3 linked regions of the Cricetulus griseus genome follow. The protein of the gene in region 1 purifies or fractionates together with the protein of each later gene. This does not show direct contact. Links are inferred from orthologs where the notes say so. Each region holds a gene or a part of one and is shown in the gene's direction. Other genes may lie near its edges. The genes, in order: Sympk, Cpsf1 and Cpeb1.

What was found.
Region 2: the proteins of Sympk (region 1) and Cpsf1 fractionate together in Homo sapiens (co-fractionation; 5 studies listed by BioGRID and IntAct, with this or other methods). This does not show direct contact. The link is inferred for Cricetulus griseus from reciprocal best matches to the Homo sapiens genes SYMPK and CPSF1.
Region 3: the proteins of Sympk (region 1) and Cpeb1 purify together in Homo sapiens (affinity purification with mass spectrometry; 3 studies listed by BioGRID and IntAct, counting the BioPlex papers as one, with this or other methods). This does not show direct contact. The link is inferred for Cricetulus griseus from reciprocal best matches to the Homo sapiens genes SYMPK and CPEB1.

Annotation. Positions count from the first base shown.
Region 1 is NC_048602.1:28,329,116-28,334,207, reverse strand, and holds part of Sympk (symplekin), read left to right. Parts: intron 1-64; coding exon 65-304; intron 305-3,989; coding exon 3,990-4,144; intron 4,145-4,411; coding exon 4,412-4,562; intron 4,563-5,092. UniProt on the Homo sapiens protein: Scaffold protein that functions as a component of a multimolecular complex involved in histone mRNA 3'-end processing. Specific component of the tight junction (TJ) plaque, but might not be an exclusively junctional component. May have a house-keeping rule.
Region 2 is NC_048595.1:373,880,554-373,886,270, reverse strand, and holds the start of Cpsf1 (cleavage and polyadenylation specificity factor subunit 1), read left to right. Parts: upstream 1-1,759; 5' UTR 1,760-1,835; coding exon 1,836-1,979; intron 1,980-5,717. UniProt on the Homo sapiens protein: Component of the cleavage and polyadenylation specificity factor (CPSF) complex that plays a key role in pre-mRNA 3'-end formation, recognizing the AAUAAA signal sequence and interacting with poly(A) polymerase and other factors to bring about cleavage and poly(A) addition.
Region 3 is NC_048596.1:116,223,027-116,227,739, forward strand, and holds part of Cpeb1 (cytoplasmic polyadenylation element-binding protein 1), read left to right. Parts: intron 1-259; coding exon 260-458; intron 459-2,105; coding exon 2,106-2,200; intron 2,201-2,913; coding exon 2,914-2,994; intron 2,995-4,713.

The DNA of each region.
Region 1 (5,092 bases):
TTGAGCCTGGCAGGCTCCACAGTGATCTGTCCCCAGCACCAAGCTCCCAACTCTGTCCTCACAGCCAACCTGCCCCCAACGCTGGCCAAGTCCCAGGTGAGCAGCGTGCGTAAGAACCTCAAGCTGCACTTGCTGAGTGTGCTCAAGCACCCTGCCTCCTTGGAGTTCCAGGCCCAGATCACCACCCTGCTGGTGGACCTGGGCACCCCCCAGGCAGAGATCGCCCGCAACATGCCCAGCAGCAAAGACTCCCGAAAACGGTCCCGGGATGATGCAGACTCCACGCTGAAGAAGATGAAGCTGGGTGAGTTGGGGTATAAGGCCTGGCTTTGTTACACTGTGCCAAGTTGCATTAATGAATACACAGGGCATTCCATAGTGTGATGTGGGAAACATACCCAAGTAAGTTAACTGTGGTGTTTGTAGGGACTTGAGTCTAGGAGAGGGTGACCTTACCTTGGTCTTTCTGCCTCCATCTCTGGACTGCTGGGATGGTGGGTGTGTGGCCAATTAGGATTCATTTAGATGTTACAAAAAGGAAGTGAGTGACGAGTGGTGTGTTCTTTGTGTTTTCGTTCCTGTTTTATACGTGTGTAGAAGGCGCTTTTCCTTTACTTGATATATATAATTGGATTTTTCTTTTTTTGTTTTGGTTTTTGGAGAAGGCTTTCTCTGTGTAGTCCTGGCTGTCCTGGAACTCACTCTGTAGACCATGCTGGCCTTGAACCCACAGAAATTCACCTGTCTCTGCCTCCTGAGTGCTGATTAAAGCTTTGCGTGTACCACCACCATCTGGCTCAGGGTTTTTGTTTTTGTTTTTAATTTTGAAAACTTGAACATTTTTGTTTTTTATTGAGACACGGTCTTCTGTCTCCAAGTGTGAGGATTGCAGGTGTGTGTCACCTCCCCAGCTCTGAGGTGATTTCTGGGGTACTCAACAATAGTGTTGACATAGCAGCCTCTTAATACCAACATTTTTTAAAATGTCATCTCTGTGTGTAGGATATTTCTGAAATTATGTTGGGGTTTTGTCTTGCTTTTGTCAAGATGTCATTATGTAGTCCTGGCTGGCCTTCGAACACATAGAGATCCACCTGCCTCTGCTTCCGAAGTGCTGGGATGACAGATGTGTGCCAATGCACCCAGCTATGAAATTCTTTTTTTTTTTTAAGATTTTATTTATTATGTATACAACATTCTGCTTCCATGTACATCTGCACACCAGAAGAGGGCACCAGATCTCATTACAGATGGTTGTGAGCCACCATGTGGGTGCTGGGAATTGAACTCAGGACCTCTGGAAGAGCAGTCAGTGCTCTTAACCTCTGAGCCATCTCTCCAGCCCCGAAATTCTTTTTTGTATTCAAATGGAATTAACTTCATAAGGGTTGCTGTGGCCTTTAGCTATATTTCTCCGTTGCTCAGTGAGGGAGAGCAATACTTTGCTCTCCTTTAAGTTTCTGTGGAGGAGATTCTACTGCGATTTTTTTTTTTTAATGGGGGAGGGGAGCACATATGCCAAGTGCGTGTATGGAGGCCAGGGCACAACTTTGTGGGACCTGTCCTCTCCTTCTGGGGATCAGACTGGGATCTTCAGGTTTGTGCGAGAGGGAAGCACCTCTCCCCACTGAGCCTGTTGCTGGCCCTTCATCTTTTCACTATTTATTTTAACGTTTTCATCAGATTCATTCATTTTATGTGTGAGTGTCTTGCTTGTACACATGTATGTTTACCACATGCACGCTTGGTGTCTCCGGAAGACAGAAGGCGGTACCAGATCCCCTGGAACTGGCGTTACAGGTGGTTGTGAACCACTATCTGGGTGTTCTCAAGTCTAAGCTACCTCTACCTCTGCCTTGCATCTTTTTAATGGTGGTCAGGTACTCTGCAATGTGCATGGAAACATTGCCAGTTACATTTGTGGGCATCTTGTTTCTGCCCCTGCTGTAGGACTGTCCTGTGCATCTCACCATAGAACACTCCCAAAGGAAAACACTTCGAGGGGTTGTGCATTGAGTTTGTCTAAAGTCAATTTTCTCTTCTTACTTTTTTTTTTTTTAAAGATTTGTTTTTTATGTTTATTTATTTATCTATTTAAGATTTTATTTATCATGTATACATCATTCTGCTTCCATGTATATCTGCACACCAGAAGAGGGCACCAGATCTCATAACGGATGGTTGTTAGCCACCATGTGGTTGCTGGGAATTGAACTCAGGACCTCTGGAAGAACAGTCAGTGCTCTTAACCTCTGAGCCATCTCTCCAGCCCCCTGTTTATTTATTATATATTATATATATAATATATATATATTTTTTTTTTTTTTTTTTTTTTCGAGACAGGGCTTCTCTGTGTAGCTTTGGAGCCTGTCCTGGAACTCTCTCTGTAGACCAGGCTGGCCTCGAACTCACAGAGATCTGCCTGCCTCTGCCTCCCGAGTTCTGGGATTAAAGGGGTGTGCCACCAGGGCCCGGCTAAAATAATTTATTTAACTTTATTTTCTGTGCATTGGTGTGAAGGTGTCACACCAATCACAAACTAGAGTTTCAGAAGTTGTGAGCTGTCACGTGGGTGCTGGGAATTGAACCTGGGTCCTCTGGAAAAGCAGCCAGTGCTCTTAACCACTGAGCTATCTTTCCAGACCGCCCCCCCCCCTTTTTTTTTTTTTTAAAGTTTCTCTGTGTAGCCATGGCTGTTCTGGAACTTGCTTTGTAGATCAAGCTGGCCTTGAACTTAAAGATCTGCCTGTCTCTGCCTCCCAAGTGCTGGGATTAAAGGCGTGCACCACCACTGCCCACCCGGCTAATACTTACTTTTATTTTTAATGGTGTATACACATATGGGTGTGCGTGCGTGCGTGCGTGCGTGCGTGTATGCATGAGTGCAGTTGCCCACAAAGGCGGGAAGAGGCCATTAGACCCTTTGGAACTGGAGTTACAAGCATTTGTAAGCTGTGTGTCATGAGTGATGGATGCCAAATTTGGGTGTTTGGAAAAACAGCAAATGCTCTGAACGGTTGAGCCATTTGTCCAGCTCCGTATTTCCTTAAGCTTCTTGTTTTAAAGTGATTTTGGATGGACAGACACGTTGCAGAAGTGGTACTGGAGGCGCCTGTGTGCTGTTCATGGGTATCCATCACACATTGTGTTTGGCCCATGTGTCTCTCACGCGCTCACCCAGCTAACACTGTGTCCATATCTCCTGAGCGGTCCCCTGCTGTGGAATGCCAGTCTTCTAGCAAGGAATGGTGGTGCATGCCTCTGATCCCAGCACTTGGGGTCTCAATCAGGAGGGTCCAGGTCCCAACTAGTCTGAGATAGATAGTAAATTTTAGCCAGCCTGAGCTACATAAGACAGTGTCTCAAAAAAGGGAGGCTGGTTGGGGCTGGTGATATGGCTCAAGGGTTAAGAGTGGTATCTACTCTTTCAGAGGACCCCGGTTCAATTCCCAGTGGTGACATGGCAGCCCATAACCATTTGTTAGCCCAATCCTAGGGGATCCTTGCCCTCTTTTGACTTCCACATGCACACACATGGTGCACAGATATACATACATGCAGGCAAATACCCATATACTTAAACTCAAGAAGCATCTCCTTTAGAAGGTGACGTAGAATGGTGTCAGTGATAGGGACAGTAACAGCATGCTGTCTCTCACTGGGAGCACCTACCTAGAGAGTACAGGGTCCTGCGTTCCATCCTCAGTATGGACTATATTAATAGTATCGTCATCTCAGAGCTTAATGTGATCAGCTAGAGGTTTTTGGCTTTTTGCCATGTTCCAGATGAGACCGGGGCACCAGGAAGAGGTGGGTGCCTGGGGCCCTATGTCACTTTCACGGCCATGACAAACTGCAGCTTAGGTCCTTCCTTGCCTGCTGTGTGGCTGCTTCATGCAGTGGCTTGCTAGAGGCAGGGTCCCCTGGCTCCCTGACACAGGTCCAGCTGCAGTCTAGAAAGCCAGCCTTTTCCCTTCTTCCCTTCTCAGAGCCCAACTTGGGAGAAGATGATGAGGACAAAGACTTGGAACCTGGCCCATCAGGGACTTCAAAGGCCTCAGCCCAGATCTCAGGCCAGTCAGACACGGACATCACTGCTGAGTTCTTGCAGCCTCTGCTAACACCTGACAATGTGGCCAATCTGGTGAGGAGGGTTAGGTTGTCCCTTGGATAGGCCTTTCCTCTCACCCCTCCTCCTTCGAGAAGCCATTTATCCTCATTATCCCATTCCCTGTCTACTCACTCTGTTCTGGGGGGTGGGAGACTCCCAGGTGGACAGCCCGGTGGTCATTGTTTTCCCAGAGAGCTAAGACAAGGAGTGCAGGCCCAGCCCAGCCTCAGTTCCTGCTGCTCCTTCCATGCTGCTCTAGACTGAACTGGCTAAGGCTTCCCCTCCCCGGGCCTCCTGCAGGTCCTCATCAGCATGGTGTACCTACCTGAGACCATGCCTGCCTCCTTCCAAGCCATCTACACCCCGGTGGAGTCTGCAGGCACCGAAGCCCAGATCAAGCACCTGGCTCGGCTCATGGCCACACAGATGACAGCTGCAGGACTGGGACCTGGTGAGTCTTGTGCTGACCCAGGCCAGGCCTTGGCACTGGACTCTCTTTCTGGAAAAGCTGTGGAGATGAAGGTCATGCGCCATCTAAGGTGTTCCACCATTATATAGAATGCTCAATGTCTTCAGGTCCTGGGCTTTGAAATCTAACAGACTTCACCTTGAGGTCCAGACTGAACCATACTGACTGTGTCAGGTTACTGAGACTCTGAACTTTGGAGTCTTTCCCTTATTTCGCCTGTGCATTTTTTTGTTTTTTTGTGTGTGCCCTCAGGCTAGGAGAGGGCGTCAGATCTCTTGGTGATGGAGGAATCACAAGAGTTGTGGGTGTTAAGAGCAAAGCTGAGGTCCTGTGCGAGAACAGCAAGTGCTCTTCACGCCTAAGGCATCTCTGCAGGGCAGGCTTTTGTCTTCTTTGAGACCAGGTCTTGTTGTGCAACCCATGCTGGCTTCTAATTTGCACCAATCTTCTGCCTAGTCTCCTGAGTGCTGGAATTATGGGTGTGAGCCATGCTTGGCACCAGCTTGTTCTTT
Region 2 (5,717 bases), on another chromosome or scaffold:
TATTTATTTATTATGTATGCAACATTCTTCTTCCATGTATATCTGCACACCAGAAGAGGGCACCAGATCTCATAACGGATGGTTGTGAGCCACCATGTGGTTGCTGGGAATTGAACTCAGGACCTTTGGAAGAGCAGTCTGTGGTCTTAACCTCTGAGTCATCTCTCCAGCCCTTATTTTGTTTTTTTGAGATAGGATTTCTCTGTGTAGCCCTGGCTGTCTTGGAACTCATTCAGTAAACCAGGCTGTCTTCGAACTCAGAGATCCACCAGCCTCTGCCTCCTGAGTGCTGGGATTAAAGGCGTGTGCCACCATCAGTGGCTAAGATTTTATTATTTAAATTATGTGTGTATGTGCCAGCAGGACTGTGCTGCTTTAATCCCAGCACTTGGAAGGAAGAAGCAGGCAGATCTCTGTGAATTCGAGGCCAGCTGAGTTCTAGGACAGCCAGGGATATGTAGCAAGACCTTGACTTAAAACATAAACAAAGGGGAGGCAGAGGCAGGTGGATCTCTGTGAGTTCGAGGCCAGTCTGGTCTACAGGGTGAGTGCCAGGACAGCCTCCAAAGCAATTCAGAGAAACCCTGACTAGAAAAACAAGACAAGCCGGGCGTTAGTGGCACATGCTTTTAATCCTAGCACTCGGGAGGCAGAGGCAGGTGAATCTCTGTGAGTTCGAGACCAGCCTGGTCTACAAGAGCTAATTCCAGGACAGCCTCCAAAGCCATAGAGAAATCCTGTCCCAAAAAACCAATAAATAAATAAATAAATAAATAAGGGAAACAACAAAATACTTTTTAAATATTTTATTTATTTATTATGTATACAGTCTTCTGCCTGCATGCAAATCTCACTCAAGGTGGTTGTGAGCCACCATGTGGTTGCTGGATATTGAACTCAGGACCTCTGGAAGAATAGTCAGTGCTCTTAACCGCTGAGCCATCTCTCCAGCCCCCAAAATACTTTTCTGTTGTTGTTGTTATTTTTTGAGACAGGGTTTCTCTGTGGCTTTGGAGGCTGTCCTGGAACTAGCTCTTGTAGACCAGGCTGGCCTCGAACTCACACAGAACTGCCTGCCTCTGCCTCCCCAGTTCTGGGATTAAAGGCGTGTGCCACCAACACCCGGCAACAAAATACTTTTTTAAAAAAAGAGATCCCATGGGGGCTGGAGAGATGGCTCAGAGGTTAAGAGCACCAGGTGCTATTCCAGAGGTCCTGAGTTCAATTCCCAGCAACCACATGGTGGCTCACAACCATCTGTTATGAGATCTGGTGCCCTCTTCTGGTGTGCAGATATACATGGAAGCAGAATGTTGTATATATAATAGATACATAAAATCTTAAAAAAAAAAAAAAAGAGAGATCCTTAGTGTGATACAAGGGTCCCCTCCCAACTTAGACATCCAAATAGACCCTCATCCACTGAGTGAGCAGGTGAAGTGTGACTTTGCATGTTTCTGTATCCTTTTCCGGGCCTATATATTTACTGGGATTTCAAGGTTCTGGATTTAGCTAATGAGGAAAACCTTGGAGGGAGCGGAGTGTCTACCAGCCCAGAGCCGACTAGTTCTAGGACCAGGCTCTTCAGCTCTTATCAAGTTAGGCCACTAGGGGCCGCGGTTCGAGGGCAGCCTCGGCGCGCAGGCGCACAGGCCAAGTAGTCCGGAACCGTGTTTCTCGACTACCAGGTTGGTCCTCCTGGAAGGCAGGTCCGGGCGGGAAGCGCAGGCGCAGAACTCGGAACCTTGTAGCCGGGTTTGCGCGCGCGGCCGGACCGAGTCCGCTGCGGTCCCTGTCCCCCGAGTCGACAGCCCCGGCGTGACAGTGGCGGCAATATGTATGCGGTATACAAGCAGGCACACCCGCCCACCGGGCTGGAGTTTGCCATGTACTGCAACTTCTTCAACAACAATGAGCGCAACCTCGTGGTGGCCGGCACCTCACAGCTCTATGTGTACCGCCTGAACCGCGACGCCGAGGTAAGCCGTGTCTCCTGAGCGGCGATGCCGAGTCCGAACCGCAGTCACCTCGGCAGGTTCCACGGTGCAGGGGCCGAGCTTTGCCTAAGGTCTCTTGTCCCCAGAGACGATTCTCCACTACCACGTTGTTTGGCCTCATCCTACCCTGCGAGTAGGGTAGGATGCCTACTACCCTGCCTACTGTCTGCTATTTGTTCTTTGGCATTTCCAGAAGATTGCTGCAGACCTTCCGTGTGCTTAGCAGTAAGGACATGGCAGTGAACCAGACCCTTGAGGGAGATGATGCTTTAGTAAATGAATATACACAGACTGCCGCAAAGTCTCCGGGAGTAAGACCCAGTGAAGGAGGCTGGGTGCTTCCAAACAACAAGAGCTTTTCCGAGACTGATAAAGTTTGTTGGGGGGAAGAACACTTGGGCCTAAATAAAGAAGCAAGGCCAGATATAGTTTGGGAACCGACTCCTAGCAGTAGATGTGGTAAAGTGGAACAAACCCATCAATAGATAAGGTATAGGGATGTTTTGGTTGCTATAGTGACACCAAATGGTTCAGAATGCTTTTTTTTTTTTTTTAAAGATTTATTTATTATGTATACAGTGCTCTGCCTGCATGTATGCCTACAGGCCAGGAGAGGACACCAGATCTCATACCATATGGTTGCTGGGACTTGAACTCAGGACCTCTGCAAGAGCTGCCAGTGCTCTAAACCACTGAGTCATCTCTCCATCTCCTCAGGAAGCCTTCTTGCAAGAGGCAATTTCCGTGGAACTTGGTATTGCCTGCCTTCAGTCTCAGGCAGAAGCAGACAGATTTCCGAGTGTTCCAGTCTAAAGTGGCCAAGCCAGTCAGGGCTACATAATGAGACTCTGTCTCAAAACAAACAAACAAAACACAAATGAAGCCAAAAGGGCAGCTTCTAAAATTTTTAAAAATTTTATTGATTTTTATTTCATGTACATTGGTGTTTTTGCCTACATGTATGCCTGTATGAAGGTGTCGGATCCTCTGGAACTAGAGTTACAGAGAGTTGTGATGTGGGTGCCGGGGATTTAACCTGGGTCCTCTGGAAGAAGGTGGTGGTCTTAACTGCTGAGCCATATCCCTGGTCCCTTTTCTCCTAAATTTTATTTTATTTTTATTTTTTTGGTTTTTTTTTTCTGAGACAGGGTTTCTCTGTGTAGCTTTGGAGCCTATCCTGGCACTCGCTCTGGATTCTCCTAAATTTTAAAAATTAGGTTTATTATTTGATTTTATGTGAATGTTTTGCCTACATATATATATGTACACCACATGTACCCTTGGTGTCCATGGAGATCAGTGTTTGTGCCTAATGGGTCTTCTGTAAGAGCAGCAAGTGCTTTTGATAGCTGTGCCATCACTCCAGCCCCTGACTAAAGAGGCGGCTTCTTAGTCAAGGTGCAGCACATATCTCTGCTGATAGGGAGGTGTTCCAGGCAGAAACATGAGGTGGAAAAACCTTGGGTACCATGAGAGAGGGATCATATTTTTTTGTTTGTTTTTTCAAGGCAGGGTTTCTCTGTGTAGTTCTGGCTGCCCTAGAACCCACCCTGGAAACTAAATTCAGAGATACACCTGCCTCTGCCTCTGAGGAGTGGGATTAAAGGCATGAGCCACCACTGCCTGGCTTTCTCAGACATTTATTAGTATCTGCTATGTGAGATATCTGGGGAGAAGCCTTCTGTGTGGAGTTTGCCCATAGTGAATGACAGGCCACATACAGATAGGGAGATGTAGGGCAGCAGATCTGGGCAGGGCTCCTGGAAAATCTCACCTCTGTAGAAGATGTGATTTAAATAGACAACCAGGTATGAAGAAGTATGTAGGAGTTAGACAAAGTGGTTTCAAACAAAACTGTTTTGTGATATAGGCTAAGGGATTGAGGAAGGCAGGGAGAGCAGATAGGAGGTAACAAGGTGGGTCTCGGGCTCTATTCCACATTCTCCAAGTAGGGAATTTTGGCAAATAAATGATCTTACCCAACTTATGCTTGACTGAGGGCCAAGGATACTAGTCAGGAAGTGACTATAGCTATTAGGCAAGAATTTTTTGTTGTTGTTGTTGGCTTTTCGAGACAAGGTTTCTCTGTGGCTTTGGAGGCTGTCCTGGAACTAGCTCTTGTAGACCAGGCTGGTCTCAAACTCATAGAGATCCACCTGCCTCTGCCTCCCGAGTGCTGGGATTAAAGGCGTGCGCCGCCGCCGCCGCCACCACCACCACCACCACCACCACCACCACCACCACCCGCCCAGCTTAGGCAAGCATTAATAGTAGCCTGGACCAGTATAGCTATGAGGTGATAGGAAGCCATCAGGTTCAGGATAGATAGAGAGGAACCGACAGTGTTGCCAAAATTTTGCCAGCGTTGTGGGTAACTGGTCTAGATTTGGTCTTAGCAGTTATTCTGGTAGTGTTGTTATTCCATGGTGGCCAGGGGTAGGAGCTAGAATTAAAGGTGGTTGTGAGCTGCCTGGTATGAGTGCTAAGAACAGAACTCAAGTCAAGAGAAAGGATTTTAAAGGCAAGGGAGAGAACAGCATAACTGTACACTGGTAATTAACAGGAGTGTTTGCTTTTTTGAGGGTAGGTGTTTTGAGACAGAGTTTCTCTGTATAGTAGTCCTGGCTATCCTGGAACTTGCTATGTAGACCAGCCTGACATTGAACTCACAGATATCCTCCTACCTCTGCTTCTCAAGTGCTGGGATTAAAGGGGTGCATCACCATACCCGGCTGAGTGTTTAGATTTTTTTTTTGGGGGGGGGCCTTGAGTTTCAAGATAGAGTTTCTCTGTGTTTTTGGAGCCTGCCCTGGAAACTAGCTCTTGTAGACCAGGCTGGTCTCGAATGAATTCACAGAGATCCTCCTGCCTTTGCCTCCCAAGTACTGGGATCAAAGGCGTGTGCCACTATGCCCAGCAAGTGTTTAGATTTTTTTTTTTTTTTTTTTCTCGAGACAGGGTTTCTCTGTGGCTTTGGAGGCTGTCCTGGAACTAGCTATATGTCATCCTGGCTGGTCTCAAACTCACAGAGATCTGCCTGCCTCTGCCTCCCAAGGACTGGGATTAAAGGCATCGCCACCAATGCCCGGCTACTGTTTGGATTTTTAATGGTTAGGGCACATTCAAAAGATAGATCCTTGAGATCAGGACCTGTCCCTGGATCTTAGCTGGCTTTTGAGAACCTATTCACCATGCTGGATTACCTCACTCAGCCTTTATGCAAGGGGAGGATCTTTGTTCAAGCCCACGAAAGGCCTGCCCCTTTCTGAATGGAGACGGAGGTTTGGATGGGGAGAGGGGTAGATAGGGAATGGGAGATAGAGTTGGTGGAGGGGAATGAGAAGAGAGGAGGGAGGAGAAACTGTGGTTGGCATGTAAAATAAATGAAAAAAATTAATTAAATAAAATAAAAGATCTTGAAACAAAAGCTGAAGCTAAAATAGCAGCTTCCTGTTTTTTGGCCCTAGCAGAACAGTATGGTTCCTCCTGTCCCATAGACTCAAGTGCAAGGTGACAGGGAATGGATATGATGGAGGGCTCAATTCAGTCACTGATTTGTGACAGGCTACCTAGGATAGATAGGCACAGTCTGTCAAGACACACTGTGGTCATGTTTGGACAAATCCAGAAGGGGCAGGCTGGCTATGATCTGTCCATTCTTCTGTCCTGCTCTGTGTGTAACTATCCTGGCAGCTTACGGCCTAAGATAGTTATCTTTCT
Region 3 (4,713 bases), on another chromosome or scaffold:
TTCTTGCTTACTCTGCAGAATGAGCAAATTCTGTTGTAGTTTCTCTCACCCTTATGAACACATGGACACAGGAAATCCAATTCAAGTTGGGTTGGATAAGGATGCCTTACTGGAAACCTGTGTGCCTCACATGAGTGACAACACCCTTTCACCCCTGCACAACTTTAGCAGCTGCAGCTGTAATATCCAGAGCATGTGTTCTACCATACAGGAGGCTCTCTGAAGCTGCCAGCTGATAAACCTTTGGGGGCATTTTCAGGTGCAGGTAATCCCTTGGGTCTTGGCTGACAGCAACTTTGTCTGGAGCCCATCTCAGAGGCTGGATCCCAGCAGGACGGTGTTTGTTGGTGCCTTGCACGGGATGCTCAATGCTGAGGCTCTGGCTGCCATCTTGAATGACCTATTTGGTGGAGTGGTGTATGCTGGGATTGACACAGATAAGCACAAGTACCCCATTGGTGAGTGTCCTACTTCTGTGTGGGAAGGCTTGGTGCCCCTGGGAGTAAATTAAAATTGTAATACTTGCCCTTGAGAGTGGAGAGAGAACTGACCTGGGTTTGCAAATCATCTTTTCCTCCAGAAGTTACCAATACTGGCCCATCTGCATCTTGACTCTGCTCCTGTTTCCCACACTGGGAAAAAGGGTGATTGTAGGATTTATGATAATATTGGTGAAAATGAGGGGAAAAGTTGGTTGAGATTCAAAGTACACAGCCAAACCAGTTTAGGACAAACTGTAGCTAGTATTGCATTTAAAGACATAATTTACTGAGAACTTGCCCAGTTTCCTGTATTAAAAGTTCTTGCCAGCCAGGCGTTGGTGACGCACATCTTTAATCCCAGCACTCTCGAGGCAGAGGCAGGTGGATCTCTGTGAGTTTGAGGCCAGCCTGGTCTCTAGGACAGCCTCCAAAGCTACACAGAAAAACCCTGTCTTGAAAAACCACAAAAAAAGTTCTTGCCAGTCATGGTAGCACATGCTTGTACTTAGGAGACAGAAGCAGGTGGATCTCTGAATTCAGAGCCAATCCAGTCTACAGAGAGAATTCCAGGGCAGCCAGGGCTACATAGTGAGACCTTGTCAGGAAGCAAGGAAAAAAATGTTTTGTTTTTACATCTTTGATCTTGTCTAGAGTAAGAGACAAGGTCAGATCAAAGGTGCTTTCTGAATTTCTCAGAAACTGGTACAGCTATTGAGCTGTTCTACCCTAAGGTAGTCTGTCCTAACCACTGACTTTTGATCAGCTTTTCTGAGAAAGATTTAGTACAGCAACCACAGTGATGGGGTTTGGAAGTGGAGCAGACCTGAACTCTGATCGAGGCATATATATAGTTAATCCACCTTCCTAGAAGCTTGGTCTGCTCACCTACACTGAATCTGGTCAGGGAGGAGCACTGAGTGCTTGCCAGTGCTGTGCTGAAGATGGAGAACTAGGACTTCAGAGGCTTATAGGGGCAGGGATCGCACTGGCAGGAAGGGATTCTTCTGCTAGTTCCTAGTTCTCTAAGGTTCCTCTGGGTCAGACAAGGTTTGATCGCCATTTCTACCCTTCAGAGACAGTTTAGTCTGCAGCTTGGGTGCCAACTGAGCCCTTTACCTTTCTCTGCGCATCTGTGTGCATAGGAGGAACCCCATCCTTTCCCTCTTTGCTAAATGGTTTACACTAACATGTCTTACAATGTTACTGTCCAGTGTGATAGCCACCAACAGGAGGTATCTGTTGAGCACTTGGAATGCAGCTTCTCCTAGGTGTTAAAATATCTGGAACACAGCCAGGCAGTGGTGGCGTTAGCCTTTAACCCCAGCACTTGGGAGGCAGAGGCAGGTGGATTTCTGTAAGTTTGAAGCCAGTCTGGTTTACAGAGAGTTCCAGGACAGCCAGGGCTACACAGAGAAACCCTGTCTTGGAAAAGGAATCTTGAACACATAGGTGAACTATATTATTAAAATTCCACTACTTTCAATTTTGCTGTGACAAGCACTAAGTTAGAAATTACATACTTACTTACATTTATGTCAGACAGCACTGGTATAGAAACGGAGTTTTTTGAGTACTTAAGAGAATTTGAGCAGGAATGTGTAAGCTTGTGCCCGGTTTTCCTAGGGTCTGGTCGAGTGACTTTCAATAACCAACGTAGTTACCTGAAAGCAGTCAGCGCTGCTTTTGTGGAGATCAAAACCACCAAGTTTACCAAGAAGGTGAGTGTCTGGTTGATGCTCTTACTTTGAGAGAGACTTGAATCATTTACAAAAATGGCATAGTTCCAAGGTTAGGGCAATGAGCCCAACTGCCAAGTTGGCCTGAGTTCAGGGTTTGAGGTGGGCTTTGTCTCAGGGGACTCAGGAGGAAGGGACCAAGACTGTTAGTGCCTGAGTAGGTGTGGGTGGGGAGAAGTTCCCTCATTTTGATATTTATCTGAAATTGCTAAGTAGATTGACTTTTTTTAAAAAGATTTTATTTATTATGTCTTCTGCCTGCATGCCAGCAGAGGATACCAGATTTCAGTGGTTGTGATGGTTGCTGGGAATTGAACTTAGGACTTCTGCAAGAACAGTCAGTGCTCTTAACTACTGAGCCATCTCTCCAGCCCCTAGATTGACTTTCTTTATCCCCTTATACCTGATTCCTCTGAACCCTTCCCTGTTAAAAGGGATAATGGAGAGCCAGGGTTCATTTTGCTGAGCATAGGCAATATAAAGCCTGTGGCTGTCAAATGTTGGAAGCAACCAGCTCTTGTTTCTGTAGGATAGGAGTCTATCCACTAAGAGCCGTATTAGACCCTGGCCCACAATTCTGTCTAGCCTCCATTAGAACAGACAAACATCCTACATCCCTGTGTGTTCAATAATAAGCTACTAAAGTTCATCTGACCCATAAAACCATTTTATTTCCCTCTGTTGCTGTTCCTCAGGTTCAGATTGACCCCTATCTAGAAGATTCTCTGTGTCTTATCTGCAGTTCACAGCCTGGCCCTTTCTTCTGTCGAGATCAGGTGAGTTCCCTGGGCACTAGAAATGTCTACAAAGTTCCTATCACAATTTTTAAAAAATGTGTTAAGGTCCATTTATGGCATTGAGTATTAAAATTCTTAGGCAACTTGTGATGTCTGAGAGCATAGAGACAATAATCAAGAGGGCACAATATAGATAGCCTAGTCCACACTCTAGGTATGTCCGGTGCTCGTTGTATTTTCCCTTTCCCTTTCTGGGCTACTACTGTACAATATGGCCATTGGTGATGGTGGGTGCTTTTTGTTTTATTTTTTTGGAAATGGTCTTACTGTTTAGTCCTTACAGGCTATGGGACTCATGTAGCCAAGCTAGCCTTGAGCTTGCAGCAAGCCTCTTTCTTACTCACTGCTTCTGCCAGAGCCCCAGGATCAGTGGCATGTGATATCATACCCAGTTAGTGGGTTTGCAGACATTTGATAGTTGGGTACCTATGAATCAAGCTCTGCTGATATTTTTTCTAAGTCTGACAAGCATTTCTAAGTCTGTCCAACTACAGTCTCTGACGCTGTTTGCCTCTGGATAGCTATGAATACTGCCTAACCCAAAATTGTAATTTTAGGAGGACCCTCCCACCTTGTGAAGTATTGGTTTGGTTTTATATCTGGATTTCATGGTTCTCCAGCATGAAATGAGCATTGTATTGCAATGCCAAAAAGTTAAGCACACCGTGCTGGGACTGAGTTTTCCCCTACTTTATTTCTGAACTTCTGGACTGCTTTGGTATTTGTATCTGGGTTCTAACCACAGTCATCAGAGGTGGAAACTTCATGGAAAGTTTCCATGGAAACTTTCTATTGGGTGTCTCTGGGTGGTGGCACATGGATGGGATCTGCGTGTGTTTGGCAGTCAATGCTTTTTCTGACTTGAATGTATGTACACATCACCTGAGAACTTTGTTGAAATGAGAATCTGACTCTGGGTTTGGGTGGATCCTGAGAAGTCTGTGTTTTTAGTAAATTGCTGAGTGGTGTCTGTATTAATGTTTTGAAAGACCTCTTTTAAAAAAATACATTAAAATATGTTTTCATATATGCATACAATATATATTTTGATCATGTTCAACCCTACTCCTTTTCATCCACTCCTCTCAATTTAATCTTTTTGTTTTATTTTGGTGCTGTTACTCTTTGGGGTTTTTTTGTTTTGTTTTTGAGACAGGGTTTGTACCTGTGGTCAGCCTGGGACTTAATATGTAAACCAGGCTGGCCTCAAACTCAGAGATCAGCCTGCCTTTGCTTTCCAAGTTCTGGAATAAAAGGCATGCATCACTATGCCCAGTGTCTGTCTGTCTGTCTCTCTCTGTCTCTGTCTCTGTCTCTGTCTCTCTCTCTCTCTCTCTCTCTCTCTCTCTCTCTCTCTCACACACACACACACACACCACACACACACACACACACACACACACACACACCCCACACACACACACTAACTCACACACCTAGTCCTGATGTGCTACTTATGGTGGTCCATCTACTAAGGGATAACCCTTAAAGAAAACTGACTTTCTTCTTCCAGAAGCTCTCAGCTAGTAGTGGCTTGTGGGCTTTTTCCCTATTCATGCTGGAATGTTCATTGGATTGATCTTGTGCAGGCACAATCATTGAACCACATTTTGAAACCTCCTCTGGGATGTTTGGGAACATCCAGACTCTAGCATTCATCCATGCTTAGTTTGTCTTATAATGATGCTGTCATTTGCA